2 linked regions of the Tamandua tetradactyla genome follow. The protein of the gene in region 1 interacts with the protein of each later gene in a biochemical or structural test. Links are inferred from orthologs where the notes say so. Each region holds a gene or a part of one and is shown in the gene's direction. Other genes may lie near its edges.

Region 1 (7,606 bases):
GGTTGGGGAAGAGGCAGGCATGGATGCCAGAGCCATGGGGCAGTGGGGGGGACCCTGGACCCAGTTCCTGGGAGGAGCTGCTGCGGGAGGGCAGAAGCAGGGGGAGGCCTGGCCAGACGTCAGGGGTGGGTTTCTGTTCAAAGGGACAGAAGCAGCTGGACCATGGAGCCCTGAAACTCCCAGGAAGGGAGTGGACACCATCCCTCGATACAGCCCTGATCTCTGAGTCGGAGTTCAGAAACTGGCTCTGTATGTAGGGAGAGGGCGTGGGAGAAAAAGATTACCTAAGCAGACAGGGTTACGGAAAGAAGATGAGAACTTAAGCCGTACAGATGTGGGCTGACATGTGTGCTTGATCACATCTTAGGAAGCGATGCTGGGCAAGTAACTCTTGTAAGGTAGATGAACTCATGCGAAGCAAGTGTTGACCAGGGTCTTGGGAGGTGGGATCTGCCAGCATGTTGCATTTCCATTAATGAGAAGAAGAAGGATGACCAATCTAGCCACTTGTGCCTACCTCCTCTGCTTCCATCCTGGTTCTCACCACTGCCCATGGCTTATTGTGACAGTCTCCTAACTGGTCACCCTGCTTCTCTCCCTCTACCACAGGTGTTCACCCAGTAGGTGCTCCATGCAGTGCCTTCCAGCGGTCCCCCATTTCGTTCCATATAAACCCAAGTCCAAGTCCTCACAGCGCCCAGAATTGCACAATTCAGCCTGCCGTTGACCTTGGGTGCTACCATGTTTCCCCTCTCTCACTCCGCTCCAGCCATACTGGCTTCTGGACTGTTCCTTGAAAATCCAGGCACACTGACTTGTCAGAGCCTCTGTGCTCTCTATTCCTGACCCTGAAACACTGTTTGCGTGTTCTTTAGGTCTCTGCTCAAAATGTCCTTCAGTATGTGCTTCTCAAACCTCCCTATTTCCAACGGTATCTGCCCCAGCAGCCTCTATCTTTCTTGATTTCCACAAACTGACATTCTGAATCATGATGCTTATTATTTTTTATCTGTCACCTCTAAGTTCCAAGAGGGCAAGGGTTTGGTCTGGTTTGTTCACTCCTGTATCCTGAGCTCCTAGAACAGAGCCTGGCACATTAATATAGGACCCCCCCCCCCAAACATTGCCTAAATAAGTGAATGAAAGATTATTACAAACATGAGGCTGGACTCGGGCCCTAGAGGGAGGCACTCTAGCCTGGTGACCAAGGCAGGAGCTGGGACTTAGGAATCACGCCAGGGACCCAGCTTCCAAAACTGGGAACACAAGGCCAGGGTAGGTTCTGGAAAACAGAGGGCTGCCCTGGCCTCAGAAGTGGGGTATGAGGTCGGAGCTTGGCCTGTAGCCAGACTGACGGAGAGGCTGGCTGGGAGACTGACACCCCTTAGGTCAGGGCCGGGCATGCACCATGTGGCTCCCCGTAAGTGGGGTCAGGGGGCTGAAGGCCAGGTTGCCAGGCAGGGTCCTCAACCACTTAGTAAATGTCCGGCAAAGTTATCCAGCTTTCAACTTATTCCTAGATGTAGGTGTTGGCGGATACTCCATATTGGCACAGCTTATAAGGAAAGCACAAATGACTCAGGGAAAAAGAAAGAGAAAAGGGAGAAGGCTCATTCAGAAACCTGAGCTGAGGAGTTAAGGAGTGGCAAGTGCCCGGAGCCTCTGAATAGAGGGTACCTATGATGCCAGTGAGATATCAGCTGAGCACCCTGGGGATTACACTGTCCTTTGGCAGGACAAAAGTAGAGATGCAGAGCTCACAGAAACCCTCTAGCTTGGGGGCGAGGGCACGTTAAGTGCCTGCAGAAGCCTAGAAAGAAGAATTGGGGTGGGGAGAATCTAGGTTGGTTTCCCTGGCGCTGTCCAGGGTACTTCATCTCAGCCTCTCCCCGTTGCTTTCCTGCTTCCTTGTAACCTGGCCTCCGGTTCAGGGCTGCCCCCAGCCCCTGCCCCTGTCCCGCCCCAGGCCAGGTTGGATTCTTACCAAGGACGAGTCACACGTCAGCAGAGATTTCTGCCTTGGGGCAAATGGACTTCTTGATTTCGTGCGGAGAGACTTTGGAATCAAGTATTGTCTGGGAGCTGGGCTCTCCCACTTAACCTAAATGGCCCTGAGCAATCTCACAGCCTCTCTGAGGCTCAGTATTCTCATCTGTGATATGGAGATAATACTACCTCCTGCCTATGGAAAACGCCAAAATTACATGAAATTCAGTGAACAAATGTGTTTAAAGCATCTAGCACAGTGTCTGGCTCTCAACAGGCCTTCAAAACATAAGAGTAGCTGTTATTATTTTTTTGGTCAATAATTTGCATCAGCGAACACTTTACAGTAACAACTACTCAGAGTTCAAAACAGGCTTACAGATTAAAACAAATGCTAATTCCCTGTCCCCTTATCTCTGAATAATAATCATGTATAATTGCAAAAAATATGTTCTATAATAATAATAATTTATGAGTACTTTCTACTTCTCCAAATGGGATACTGAAACATTTATTTGCTCAGAACCCCATTGTAGGTTGACAAAGGAATGAGGGGGAGATAGGGGCAGCTCCTGAGCTTTTATTGACACCGAAAAGCCTCCTTCTGTCACCTTCCACTTTAAGGAACAAGGAAAATGTGCTCGCTCACACTTCAGTAAACGACACAAAAATCATTATTTAGAACTGTTTGCCATGTCGCAGTAGCACCCAATTCCTCCTCAGGATATGTCCGGGATGTGTTTGGAGGTACCTGTGTCCTTGGGAAAGAAAGGCTGCTCTGGAATGCGAGCCAGGACAGCAGTTGTTCCCATTTTATGGATGAAAAAGCTGAGGCCCAAAACAGGCGAAGTGTCTGGTCCAAACAACTGAATTTGGACTTGAATTTGGGTCTTCTGCCTCTGCACTCAGGCTGCCTTTTGTCCATAAATGGTCAAACACAACCGTGGACACCTACACATAAAGATCTCCTTGATCAGAAGGAACAGGCTTGTGCTGAAGTGTGATCCTTGTCGCCATGGGTACCTGCCTCCTCTCTCCAAGGAGGCTCGGTGGATCCGCGGAGGAGCGGAGGTGAGTGGCCAGGAATGCATCCCTCCCACTGCCAGGTAGAGGGAACTGAGGCCCGGGGGCCTGCTCTCCCCCGTCCCAGCTCCTAGTGCACTGTGCACTGCAGCAAGTTAGGGAAGCTTTCTGAGCCTCAGTTTAGTCACCTGCAAAAGGAGGGTGAAGAGAGCAGTGCCTCCTTCAGAGGTAGTGAGTGTTACCTTGGAAGCCACCTCAAGCTCTACGCTTAGTGAAGGTTTCACTCCTGTGTTGTTACAAGGTTGTCCACATGGCCCTCGATGCTGTGTCCGGGTCCACCGATGTTTTCTGACTTCATGTCCTAGGGTGTCCCTCCTCTTTAACCACCCCTGGGATTTGAATATTTTGTTGGCCACGATTCCCGTCCTTCAATCACCGGGAGGCACACGGGACCCAAGTCCCCAGGCCAGCTCACAAGGGAACATCTGGGGCCCAGGAGTGTTTTGCCCACGGTTGGCCCATGCGATCCTGCAGAGTGGGTCAAGGCCAAGGGCGCACAGACCCCGTTCTGGCCTGAACAGAGCTCCGACCCGGGGAGAAGTCTTGGGCGGGGACCTTCTGGAGAGGGTACACGGGGAGGACATATGCCTGGAGGGGGCGATAGCGCACGCAGCTGAGGACCCCAGCCTCGCCCAGAGTGGCAAAGGGCGGCTGCTCCATCCGGTGGGGGTCCCAACCAGGCCCCAAGAGCCCGCCAGCCTAGCACCAGGGGCGTGCAAGAGCTCTGGGTCGTCTTCGGGCGCCCCTGCGTGCCCGGCCAGCCTCCCCCCCCCTCCCCCAGCAACCGCGCGGAGCAGGAGAGCGTAGGCTGCAGGTGCCGCTAGGACGTCTCCGTGGCGCGCTCGCCGGCCAGACCTCGGAGAAGCAGCCCCAAACCGCCGCGCAGGTGCCACAGAAAGCGTGCCAGTGCGCGGTCCCCGGCGGTCAGCGGGCCGGGGACGCGTGTGTGCGTGTGCGGGAAAGCGGCCCTCCCCGCAGTCGCCGCAGCGACAGCGCCAGCGCCGGTGCCTCCCCCTCCCCCGGCGCGCACGGCCCGTCCCCGTCCCCGGAGGCGGCCCGAGCCCGGGCCGAGCAGCCTCGCCTTCGCCTCCCGCGCTTCCTGCCGCCCGCTCGCCCTCCCCCGGCGGGGCTCCAGGGGCGGCAGCCGCGCAGCTCCCGGCGGGAGAGCGGCGCCGAGCGCGCACGGGGGCGGGCGGAGGTGGCCCGGTGCGGGGCGGCCGCGCCGCGGAGAGGCGCGCGCGGAGACGCCAGCCCCCCTCTCGGCGATCGCTCGCTCGCTCCCCGCCTCCCGCACTCCGCTCGCTCCCACCCCTTTCCCGGCGTGATTGATCCGTCACGGGCGCCGCCGCCGCGGCCGTTCCGAGCCGAGCCGGAGCCCGAGTGGGAGCCCGAGCCGGAGCCGGGGCCCGGGCCGGGGCCGGCGCCATTGCGCGGGCGCCGCGGGGAGAGCTGGGCGCGGGGCGGCGGGCCGGGCCAGGCCATGCGGGCCGAGTGAGCCGGCGCCCGCAGCCCGCGGCGCGGCATGGCTTCCCCGCCGAGCTCCGGGCAGCCCGGGCCGCCGCCGCCGCCGCCGCCTGCGCGCCTGCTGCTGCTCCTGCTGCTGCCGCTGCTGCTACCGCTGGCGCCCGGGGCCTGGGGCTGGACGCGGGGCGCCCCCCGGCCGCCGCCCAGCAGCCCGCCGCTCTCCATAATGGGCCTCATGCCGCTCACCAAGGAGGTGGCCAAGGGCAGCATCGGGCGCGGCGTGCTCCCCGCCGTGGAACTGGCCATCGAGCAGATCCGCAACGAGTCGCTCCTGCGCCCCTACTTCCTCGACCTGCGGCTCTACGACACCGAGGTGAGCGTCCGGCCGCGCGCTCCGTCGGGGCTCCGGGAGGCGATCGGGCTTGGGGTTGGACAGGGGCAGGCCGCCGGCCTGAGGCCGGAGCCCCGGTTGACCCGTCCGCGCCTACCGAAGGCACCGCGGGCTGCTGCTCAGTGCTTACCCCGCCGGGGTCCCCCGGGGCTTGGCTGGCACAGCTGCTATCAAGCTTGGCCGAGCATTCCCCCCTCCTCTGGGATTGTGTGTGTGTTCATGTATGCGCGGGGGGTGTTGGATAGATTAGGGTGTCCTTTGACCAGAGAAGGAGGAGTCGAGGACTGGACCCCCAAAAGCCTGCAGTGGCTGTCCCTGCCCAGGATCCGCTCGTGGGGCTGTGAGGGTGGCGGCTGGGGGGAACAGGCGCTTTGACGGCAAACCGGGCCACTTGGGGCTGGTGGACAGCCGAGCTGCGCTCTGAGGTCCGGAGGGCTCCAGGACCCGAGGGGCCCGATCGCGCCCTGGGGCTGGACACTTGGTGCGCGCCAGCGGCTCGGAGTACGCACGGCGGCGCGGGCGGGTATGGGGCCGCCCGCTCTGCAGCGCTGCAGCCTGGCTTTGCCCGGCGCTGCCTGCAGCCCAAGCGGTTTCACGAGGAGACCCTCTTCGGGTTAGTTACTAAGAGAGTGCCCTGGGCAGGTCTCGGCCCGGCCGCGCGGGGTGTCTGGCCTCGCCACTGCTCTTGGTCGGGCGGCTGCAGGAGTAATTTCTCCCGGCGCTGAGCTGCAGCGTCCTAGGAGCCGGAGCCCGGACTTGGAGCGCAGCAGCGGGCTTCCCTTTCCCGGCCTCCTCCAAGTGGAGCGGGGGATGCCGGGCTCTTCCATCCCAGGCTCCCTTCCCGCGCCCTAGGCTTCTATTCCGGCTAAAGCTCAGCGCGGAACTTGGCTGCCCACCTGGACGTGGGAACTAGGGCGCGCGGAGGGGACTTAGAGGAGCCGTGGCCCGCCGCGCAAGGTCGGGTTTGCGAGTTTTCCGGGACAAGAGGGAGCTCCTACGCTCGGGCCGTAGCGCCCTAGACGCGGCCTGAAGGGGGCAGTGGTTTCCCGTGCACTATACTCGGTTGGTGCCTCTTCCACCGCGCCAAGCCGGGCCAAGCGCTCGCTGGGCTTGACCCCGGCACCCTGGGCGCTTCTGCTCAATCCAGGTGCAGCCCCCTTTGGGGAGAAGGGTCGCGCTGCTTTACTGATCATGTAGCCCGGGCTCCGCTTCCTCCGCTCTCTGACCCTTTTTATGTCCCTGGAGAAAACAGAAATCTGGATTGTCTCTTCTTCCCCGCCCCCTCCCCCCTCCCCTGATGAACCAGCCTGCTCTGCGCTGTAAATAAAAGGTGAAGGAGCGAGTGGCAGTTGGTGGCGGTGTGCGCAGGCTGTTGCAGGAGGAGAAGCAGCCTCTGCCCTGGGAGGGTGTGAACAGGGTGGCCGTGCAGGGCTAACCCCCGTGTGTAATCATTTCTGAGTGGCATTCCTATCTCCCCAGCTTTGCCAGAACATTTCAAGTCCCCTGGGGTTCTGGTCCTATACACGTAAATGGAGAAAGCAGTGCAAATACACGGCCGCCACCGACACGTTATCTTCTTGACTCTGCTTCTCTGTTTCGTGCATACATATTCTCTTGGAAGGAACCCCGGAGAGCCGGTTTTCTGGAGACAAAAGCATTTGTAGACAGGGCTACTCTGCTTGCATCATCACCAGATATTGTCCACTGCATAATGTTTTCATTGTCAATTTATTCCCTTTAAAAAGCTTCCCTGAAAGAGATTTTGTATTATCCTGTTTGTGGCAGCAGAGAGATGGATGCTTGGCTTCTGACCGTTGAAGCTCTTACGTTTTATTTTTCAAGGGTGCCTTGATGACTTTCTGAGTGAGAGGCCCCAAAGTCGAGAGGATGAGCCAGTGAGAAGGCTCTTCAGTCTGTAGGAATATTTAGGAAACAGTGGGAAGGAGGACAGCAGAGGCTGACCCCAGCCGCATGCAGAGAGGAAGCATCTCTACCCTTTGAGGGCCAGTAAGGGACACAGGGTGGACTCGGGTGGGTCGGATCTGGGTTCTAGTAGAAACTGGTTCCTTTTCCCCTGGGTGACCTTGGGTGAAGCATTTAATCTCCCTAAGCCTAGATTTCCACATCTGAAAAAAAAAAGAATATTATATGTACTCTGCAGAGCAGCAGGGCAAGGCTTAAGGAAGATAAGGACAGAGCCACTGAGCTCTCTGGCATGCAATAAGCACTAAATAAATGTTTTCTGCCTCCTTTCTTTGGATTTCTCCTGGCATGAATTCACAAGTAAGATGCTGTGGCATTAGATGTGATAAAATGGTCATTGCTTAAATATTATGGCTGCTTATTTGCTTTTGAAATCTCCAGAAGAGTTGATGAAGTTATTGGCAGAAAAAAATAATTCTGGCTTACAGCCAAATATTGCCCAGCAGCAAGTGTCCTATTTGGGAGAACACCCAGGTGATACAATTGCTTAATTTTTTCAAATAGCCTCATCTTTAAAAGTGAAGCGGGAGTAAAGGAAAGATGAGTCTGGGTCATTTGTAGCAAAATCCACAAACACCTGGAAAACTGTTTGGAGCCTGCTTTCTTTGGATCAGCTATCTTTGTGGATACTACATACTGCCTAATGACTGGCAGGCCGTGTCACTTGTCGAGTGTAGACTCGAATGCAGGGTGGATGTG
Region 2 (7,092 bases), on another chromosome or scaffold:
TTAAATTATGAACATTCCATTCTTGGCATATAGTCAGTGACTCACAATATCATCACATAGTTGTATATTCATCACCATGATCATTTCGTAGAACATTTGCATCACTCCAGAAAAAGAAATAAAAAGAAAAAAGAAAAAAACTCATGCATACCATACCCCTTACCCCTCCTTCTCATTGACCACTATTAAACTTTATTTTTCTTTAATTCCTCTATATCCAATTCTTTTCTCCCTCTGAATGCAAAATTTTATTGATGTAAATGAGTTTTAAAGCCTGCGTAAAGAAAAGATTTGCACATACTGGGAGGATGATAAATGGACTAAATGTTTGTTCACAACAATTTTTGATTCCATCTGTACCCCATTTTTTTCACAATGTTCATTGTAATGTTTCTGCCATTCATTTATTCATTCGGTATTCAATGAGCAGACATGTCGGGTACCATGCTGGGAGGTAGACAACAATGATTCTGACAGCTGGGTGGTGGTTTTCAGCTTGCAAATCGTTTTTATGGATATTAAATTCATTCACTCCTCAGAGGCACATACTTCACTTAACCCCAGTTCTGCCTCCCTTTTTGACTTTATTCTGTTCATATTCCTCATTCCTTTTCTCAAATCTTTGGTGGGCAGGCTCTTTACTAAGTGCTTTGATATAAAGGGGTAGGGGAAGATGTTTGGAAGAGAAGGTAGAAAAGGAGAGGAAAAATGTAAAACATGAAAATTTAATTCAGAGATGTTTCCTATACCCCACACTTTCAGGTAAAAGGACGAAGTATTTCTGAGGCACACTGTTTTTATTTAGTAAGGTACAAAGAGCCACCTGAAGAGCAGCAATGGCCTTTCATGCACTCAACACTGGAAACTGGGCTGAGACTAGACATAGGCCAGTGGTTTCCCAAATCCTCTCCTTCTTCTAATAAAGCCTATTGGTCATACTGGAGATGCCAGATTTATGACCGCCTTTCCCCCCACAAACACCCGGGCCTCAAGTCCCAGCATCAAAGTATTTCCTCTTGAATTTTGTGACATCAACCAATAGGCAAGAAATAGTATACAGAAAATTAACCAGAAAACTATTCCTTCCGTCTCACCTCACCTGTTTCATTCATTTCATGTTTCTCATGCACAACTCAGGCTCTTGTAAGGAAGAGTCAATGGGCTTTCCTGCAGTAGACTAGCTCAAGAATATGCTGTCTCAACAAGAGGAGGACGGCGATAGTACACTGCTTGTGTATAGGCTCGCAGTATCACTCACTTTTCAGCTTGTGATAATCTCTTCAAGAGTACTTTGGAGATTCACAGGACATACACTAAAGTTCTACTGGGAAACAAACCGAGTTTGCTTTGCCCTGTGTCTGGAATGCTCTTCCCCCAGAACTTCCCATGGCTGTCTCTTCCTCATCATTCAGTTCACATGTCACTTTCATGGAGAGGTTCTCCAGACACTCTATAAAAGTAGTATCCTCACACTCGGTCCCTCTATCCCATGTCACTCCTTTGTTTTCTTTGTGGCACTTATCATCTGAAATTGATGATGAAATCTGCCTCTTTCACAAGACTGAAAATTCCAATAAGACAAAGATTTCTTTTTAAAAATGCACTGCTGGGAATTTAATAGTAGGCCTTTAATAAATATTGGTGGAACAACAGATATTTTATATTGAATGTTTGTTATATGCCAACTCTGTTCTAGGTTATGGTGTTGCAGCAGGGAATTAAGCAGACAGAAATCTCTGAACTCTTGGAATTTACATTCTAATGCAGGAAACAGACAAACACATAAGTAAAATCCCTAGTGTGGAGGCAGGGGAGTGGGGTAATGCCAGGGTAGGGGGGAGAGGTGGGGATGAGGGGATAAGTGATTTAGGCAAAATGAACAGCAAGTTCAAAGGCCCCCAGGGGACCATAAGGGCCTAATGCCTGAAGCCAATGAGTTCCTGGGGGAGTGTGGGGTGGCTGTGGGGTGGCTCCAGATCTGATCATGTAGAGTTTTGTAGGCTGGTGAAAGGACTTTATGCTTCACTCCTGTGTGAGACAGGAAGCTGCTGAGGAGCTTTTGAGCGGAACCGCATGGTCTGATTTAGGTTATAATGGGAATGCTGTTTTGTTCTGATGAGAAAAGACTATGGGGGCAAAGGTGCAGGTAGGGGACAATGAAATAATCCAGGCAAGAGATGACAGTGGCTTGGTCCAGGATGGTGGCAGGGAGATGGTGAGATGTGTTAAGAGTCTGGAAATATTTCAAAGGTAGGGCTGACAGATTTGCTGATACAATGGATAAAGTAATGATGAAAAAAAAAGTGTGAAATTGATACAAGGAAGGCTTTTCTTGGATTTAAAGAAAAGAGACTGGTTTTGTCAGGTCTGTGACACTGATATAACAAATAGTAGCACAGCCACCCAGGAATTCTGCATTGGAACTTGGAACTTTTGTGTCGTCTATTATTTATGGCAAAGAACAAAACAAAATGGAATGGTGAAATATATTCAGTAACAGAAACTGTTCTTGCAGTTAAGCAAGCTGGTTTGGGGCTTAATCTTATTTCAGCATACTGCCATAAGTAAATTAATTGTTCAGCAGACAAACATTTCTAAATAAAAATGCACAACCCTGAGGAGACTGGAAAGTTCGTTGAGTAGTTACACAAAAGGGTAAACATTATTAGCAAGAACCAGGGTCTCACCTGATTTATCAAGATTGAAGATCTGTACTTCAAATTGATCTGATGACTGCTCACACCTCTGGGTCTCTGCCTCCTGCGCTGCACTGAAGACAGCTTCTTCGAGAATATTCAAGTTTGCATTCCTTACCTAGTATAGAGCCTGGTCTGTAGGTGCACAACAAATACTAACTCTTCATTGCTCTCTCCTGGTCTCTCTATATAGTGCTCAGGAACACTTTTCGAATTAAACAAACAAAAAATTAATTTCTTTTACAAAAGTCAGTGATTCGATTTTCTCAAAATAATGAAACGTAATGGATGCCAACATGTGTAACGAGCAATCAATCCCTAGGTCCCTTCTGAGCAGGCAGCCAGGGAAGGCTTCCAGGGGGAGAAGGAATCCTGCAGGCTGAGACCTGAAGCGAATGTAGAGCGAGAAAGATTCAGAGAATACTGGATTCAGACATATGTGCAAAGGCCTGAGACTGGAGGGAACCTGGAACACCCTGAACCGAATGACCGATGCACGCAGAACCCAGGCGCTTGGATCTTTGAGTGGATAAATATGTTAAAGGAGAGCCAAAGGCTGAACGGTGCCTTTATAAATTGCTTTAGATCTGCAAACCCTCTGAGTTTTATAGAACAATTCACTCAGGGCCAAAAGGTACCCAGAGATGGTGCGTTCCTGTCAGTCCACTATACCCATTCCCTGTAGAACGGCTTCTAAGGCGCTCAGTAGGTAAGACGCCTCGGCTGCAACCCTCAGGGGAAGGCGCCCTTAAGTCACTCTTTTAGCTCGCCTTAGTTCCCTTGGTTGCTATTTCTGCTCATTCCACCCCCCCCCCCCATTTTAGTGTCTCCCAACCAATGACTTTGTCTCCGCACCCATAAAATCGGCTATCGAAGAGCGTCCTGCAGCAGAACGCTCTAAGTTAGCCTTTTATTTCTAGGATTTACTCGAAGCCATTGAGTAACGAGAACAATATCTGGCGGCCACAACTCCCCACCCCCCCACCCCCCATGGGGCGGCTCCTGTGACTCTCCAGCTTTTTCTTCTATCTCAAGTACGTTCATCGACACAGCAATTCAGTTCAGAACAGCTAGTTCCGGGGGGCGGCCCGGCCGGAGGCGTCCACGCCCTTCCCCTCTCCCGGGCTAGGCCAGAAAGTTGACATCCTCCTTCCAGAGTCAGCGGGGGCGGGGAGGAGTCGGGTGGGGTGTCAGGGAGCGCAGTGAGTGCCCCTCGAACCGAAAGTCCGTTCTTCCGAAGTGGCCTATCCCAGGCCTTCTCCACTTCGGAAGAGAAAGTTGGGCGGGAGCGGGAAAGGGTTGGGGCGCGGAACAGGACGGTGGGGGTGGGCTGGGTGGTCCACGCCGCGCGCAAACCCGGGTGGAGCCTGCAGCCAGGAGCGGCGTCAGCGTTTAACATGCAAATCGATTCCCAGCTCCCTCCCTCCGCCACCCCCACCCCTGCTGGGGGAGCGGGGATACGCGGCTCTGCAGCCGCCCACGCCTCCTCCTGCGCGCCGCGGCGCTCCAGCGGGTGGCTCTACTTAAGCCGAGTGCTGGCCGCGACCCGACACTCGCCTGGAGTGCGCGGGCGAAGAGGGCTCTCCGCACCCGGGTGCACAGTCGCGTGCTCTCACCGCTAGGTACCGTGCGGCTCTCGGCGGCGGTGGCTTGAGCTCAGGGCTCTGCGAGCTTTCCGGAGTCGTGACTCCGGGAAGGGCGGCTGCGGCTCCTGCGCGCGACCCCGCTCCCTTCGCCTGCCCCAGCCTTCTTGGCCATGGCTCTGGCGGACAGCACACGTGGATTACCCAATGGGGGCGGCGGCGGGGGTGGCAGCGGCTCCTTGTCCTCGTCGGCCGAGCCGCCGCTTTTCCCTGACATAGTGGAGCTGAACGTGGGAGGCCAGGTGTATGTGACCCGGCGCTGCACGGTGGTGTCGGTGCCCGACTCGCTGCTCTGGCGCATGTTCACGCAGCAGCAGCCGCAGGAGCTGGCCCGGGACAGCAAAGGCCGCTTCTTTCTGGATCGAGACGGCTTCCTCTTCCGCTACATCTTGGATTACCTGCGGGACTTGCAGCTTGTGCTGCCTGACTACTTCCCCGAGCGCAGCCGGCTCCAGCGCGAGGCCGAGTACTTCGAACTGCCGGAGCTCGTGCTCCGCCTCGGGGCGCCCCAGCAGCCCGGCCCCGGGCCGCCGCCGCCGCACTCGCGGAGCGGGGTGCACAAGGAGGGCTCTCTGGGTGACGAGCTGCTGCCGCTGGGCTACGCCGAGCCAGAGCAGCAGGAGGGCGCCTCGGCCGGGGCGCCGTCGCCCACGCTGGAGCTGGCTAGCCGAAGCCCGTCCGGGGGCGCCGTGGGCCCGCTGCTCACGCCGTCCCAGTCGCTGGACGGCAGCCGGCGTTCGGGCTACATCACCATCGGCTACCGCGGGTCCTACACTATCGGGCGGGACGCGCAGGCGGACGCCAAGTTCCGGCGGGTGGCGCGCATCACCGTGTGCGGCAAGACGTCGTTGGCCAAAGAGGTGTTCGGGGACACCCTGAATGAGAGCCGGGACCCCGATCGGCCCCCTGAGCGCTACACCTCGCGCTATTACCTCAAGTTCAACTTCCTGGAGCAGGCCTTCGACAAGCTGTCCGAGTCGGGCTTCCACATGGTGGCGTGCAGCTCCACTGGCACCTGCGCCTTCGCCAGCAGCACAGACCAGAGCGAGGACAAGATCTGGACCAGCTACACCGAGTATGTCTTCTGCAGGGAGTGAGCTCCCCAGAACCCCCTCGCGGACTCCGGCGCCCTCTCCCTCCCTTTCCTTGCCCGGGAGATGATTTTAGTTCCCACCCTTCTCGCCCCTCTCACCCATCAACCTCTCCATGCCTCCACTCCGTCTCACTCCCGAAACTGGGGCCCGACCCCTTTGTCACAAATTCCAGAACTTGCAGTTGCAAACCCTCTCAGCTTCTTCGTTTTCTTCGGACCCCTCTAACCGAGAGAGCCCAGGTGTACCCGAGCTTCCTCCATCCCTTGCCTCAAACCACCCCTCCCCCTCCCCCAGATTGTCCTTCAGTCTCGATGGACTGGGTCAGTGTGGCCACGAAGTGACTGAATTGTTCAGAACCTGATTGGACATGTCCAGTGTGTAGAAGATTCCTTGAAACCTTCTGGAGCCTTATGACTCATTCGGGGTTTAAGAGATTAGAATTGATAACACTGGGATAGTTACCGTGTTTTCAGAGGCCATTACAGTCTTTAAAGGTGGTTATTTAGAAGTTTGAATGAAAGACTGGTCCTAGAATTAGGACCCTATTGAGGCCATTCGGTGATTGTAAGTAATGCATTTTGAAAAGTTATAGGTAGAAGTAGAATAATCTAGTGCTGGCACAGTGGAGGAGCGTATCTTTTTCAAACAGCATAAAAAGATCCTCGCCTGTCGCTTAAACTTGTAGAACGTGACCCTGCTGCCTGCGTGACCCTTTCTCCTTGACTCTTTGCTGGAAGCCCCTTGGTTCGACTTCAGTTGACATGGCAGACGTTATTGACAAGAGGGAGCAAAAGCACCACCGCCCGAAGAGGGCACATGTGGGAAAGTTCCCTCTCAATGACTTTAAAACAGAGCTGGGTAGGAAAGCACGTGGTAGGTATAAGGAAAGCCCGTATTCTTGCAGTGTATGGCAGTAGGACCTTCTGTAGCTTGTAGGACTTGGGGTTGGGGAGGGGGGGAGGCTGGGAGGGAGGAAGAAGGGAGGAGCAGACATACTGATTTATTATTTGAAATTTGAACGTTTCTGCCATCCGTTTGAGTACATGCACTTTTTCTTTTAAATATCAAATAGTACATGAAAACATGCAAAGCATTTTATAAAATTAACTACAGACCTACTTTTGACTGGCAGTTCTTGAACTGTCTTGAGTCCTATTAGAAATTGCTGATACTTATATAATCTAACCAAAGAGTTACCCAGTGAGATTTTGGTTTTTGAACTTTTTCTTTTTGAATATAAATTCCGATTTTAAAATCTATTTACTTGAGCAAAATATGTTCATTTTGATTAAAGATCGGTTATTAAAAATCTGTATTTTGGGGTTCGTTTCCTGGTGCCTGCCCTTGCAAAAAAAAAAAAAAAAAAATCCGTATTTTCCTAAGCTCAGCACATATTCTGCTGAGCAAACCTGAAAATGTCACTTTGCATTCTTCTTTTATGCCATTTGTTTGAAGGTAAGGTGGAATCTTTTCAAGGGACAGGACTGCACAGAAACGGAAGCACCAAGGGCTGCCCATCTGTAGATAGCTGTAAGATGGAATATTTTTAAATGAAGGCAGATAAGTACGTAAAAGTGAGCTGAGCAATAAAATGCTGTTTTAGGTAAATGAAACAGAAGGAGACCTGGTTGCCTTATGCCTTTACTCTAACATGGAATA

What was found. The genes of interacting proteins can lie anywhere in the genome.
Region 2: the proteins of GABBR2 (region 1) and KCTD12 form a complex in vitro, tested with the Homo sapiens proteins (2 studies listed by BioGRID). The link is inferred for Tamandua tetradactyla from reciprocal best matches to the Homo sapiens genes GABBR2 and KCTD12.

What each region holds. Positions count from the first base shown.
Region 1 is NC_135328.1:15,904,035-15,911,640, reverse strand, and holds the start of GABBR2 (gamma-aminobutyric acid type B receptor subunit 2), read left to right. Parts: upstream 1-4,591; coding exon 4,592-4,906; intron 4,907-7,606. UniProt on the Homo sapiens protein: Component of a heterodimeric G-protein coupled receptor for GABA, formed by GABBR1 and GABBR2. Within the heterodimeric GABA receptor, only GABBR1 seems to bind agonists, while GABBR2 mediates coupling to G proteins.
Region 2 is NC_135330.1:144,650,936-144,658,027, reverse strand, and holds the start of KCTD12 (BTB/POZ domain-containing protein KCTD12), read left to right. Parts: upstream 1-4,076; 5' UTR 4,077-4,452; coding exon 4,453-5,436; 3' UTR 5,437-7,092. UniProt on the Homo sapiens protein: Auxiliary subunit of GABA-B receptors that determine the pharmacology and kinetics of the receptor response. Increases agonist potency and markedly alter the G-protein signaling of the receptors by accelerating onset and promoting desensitization.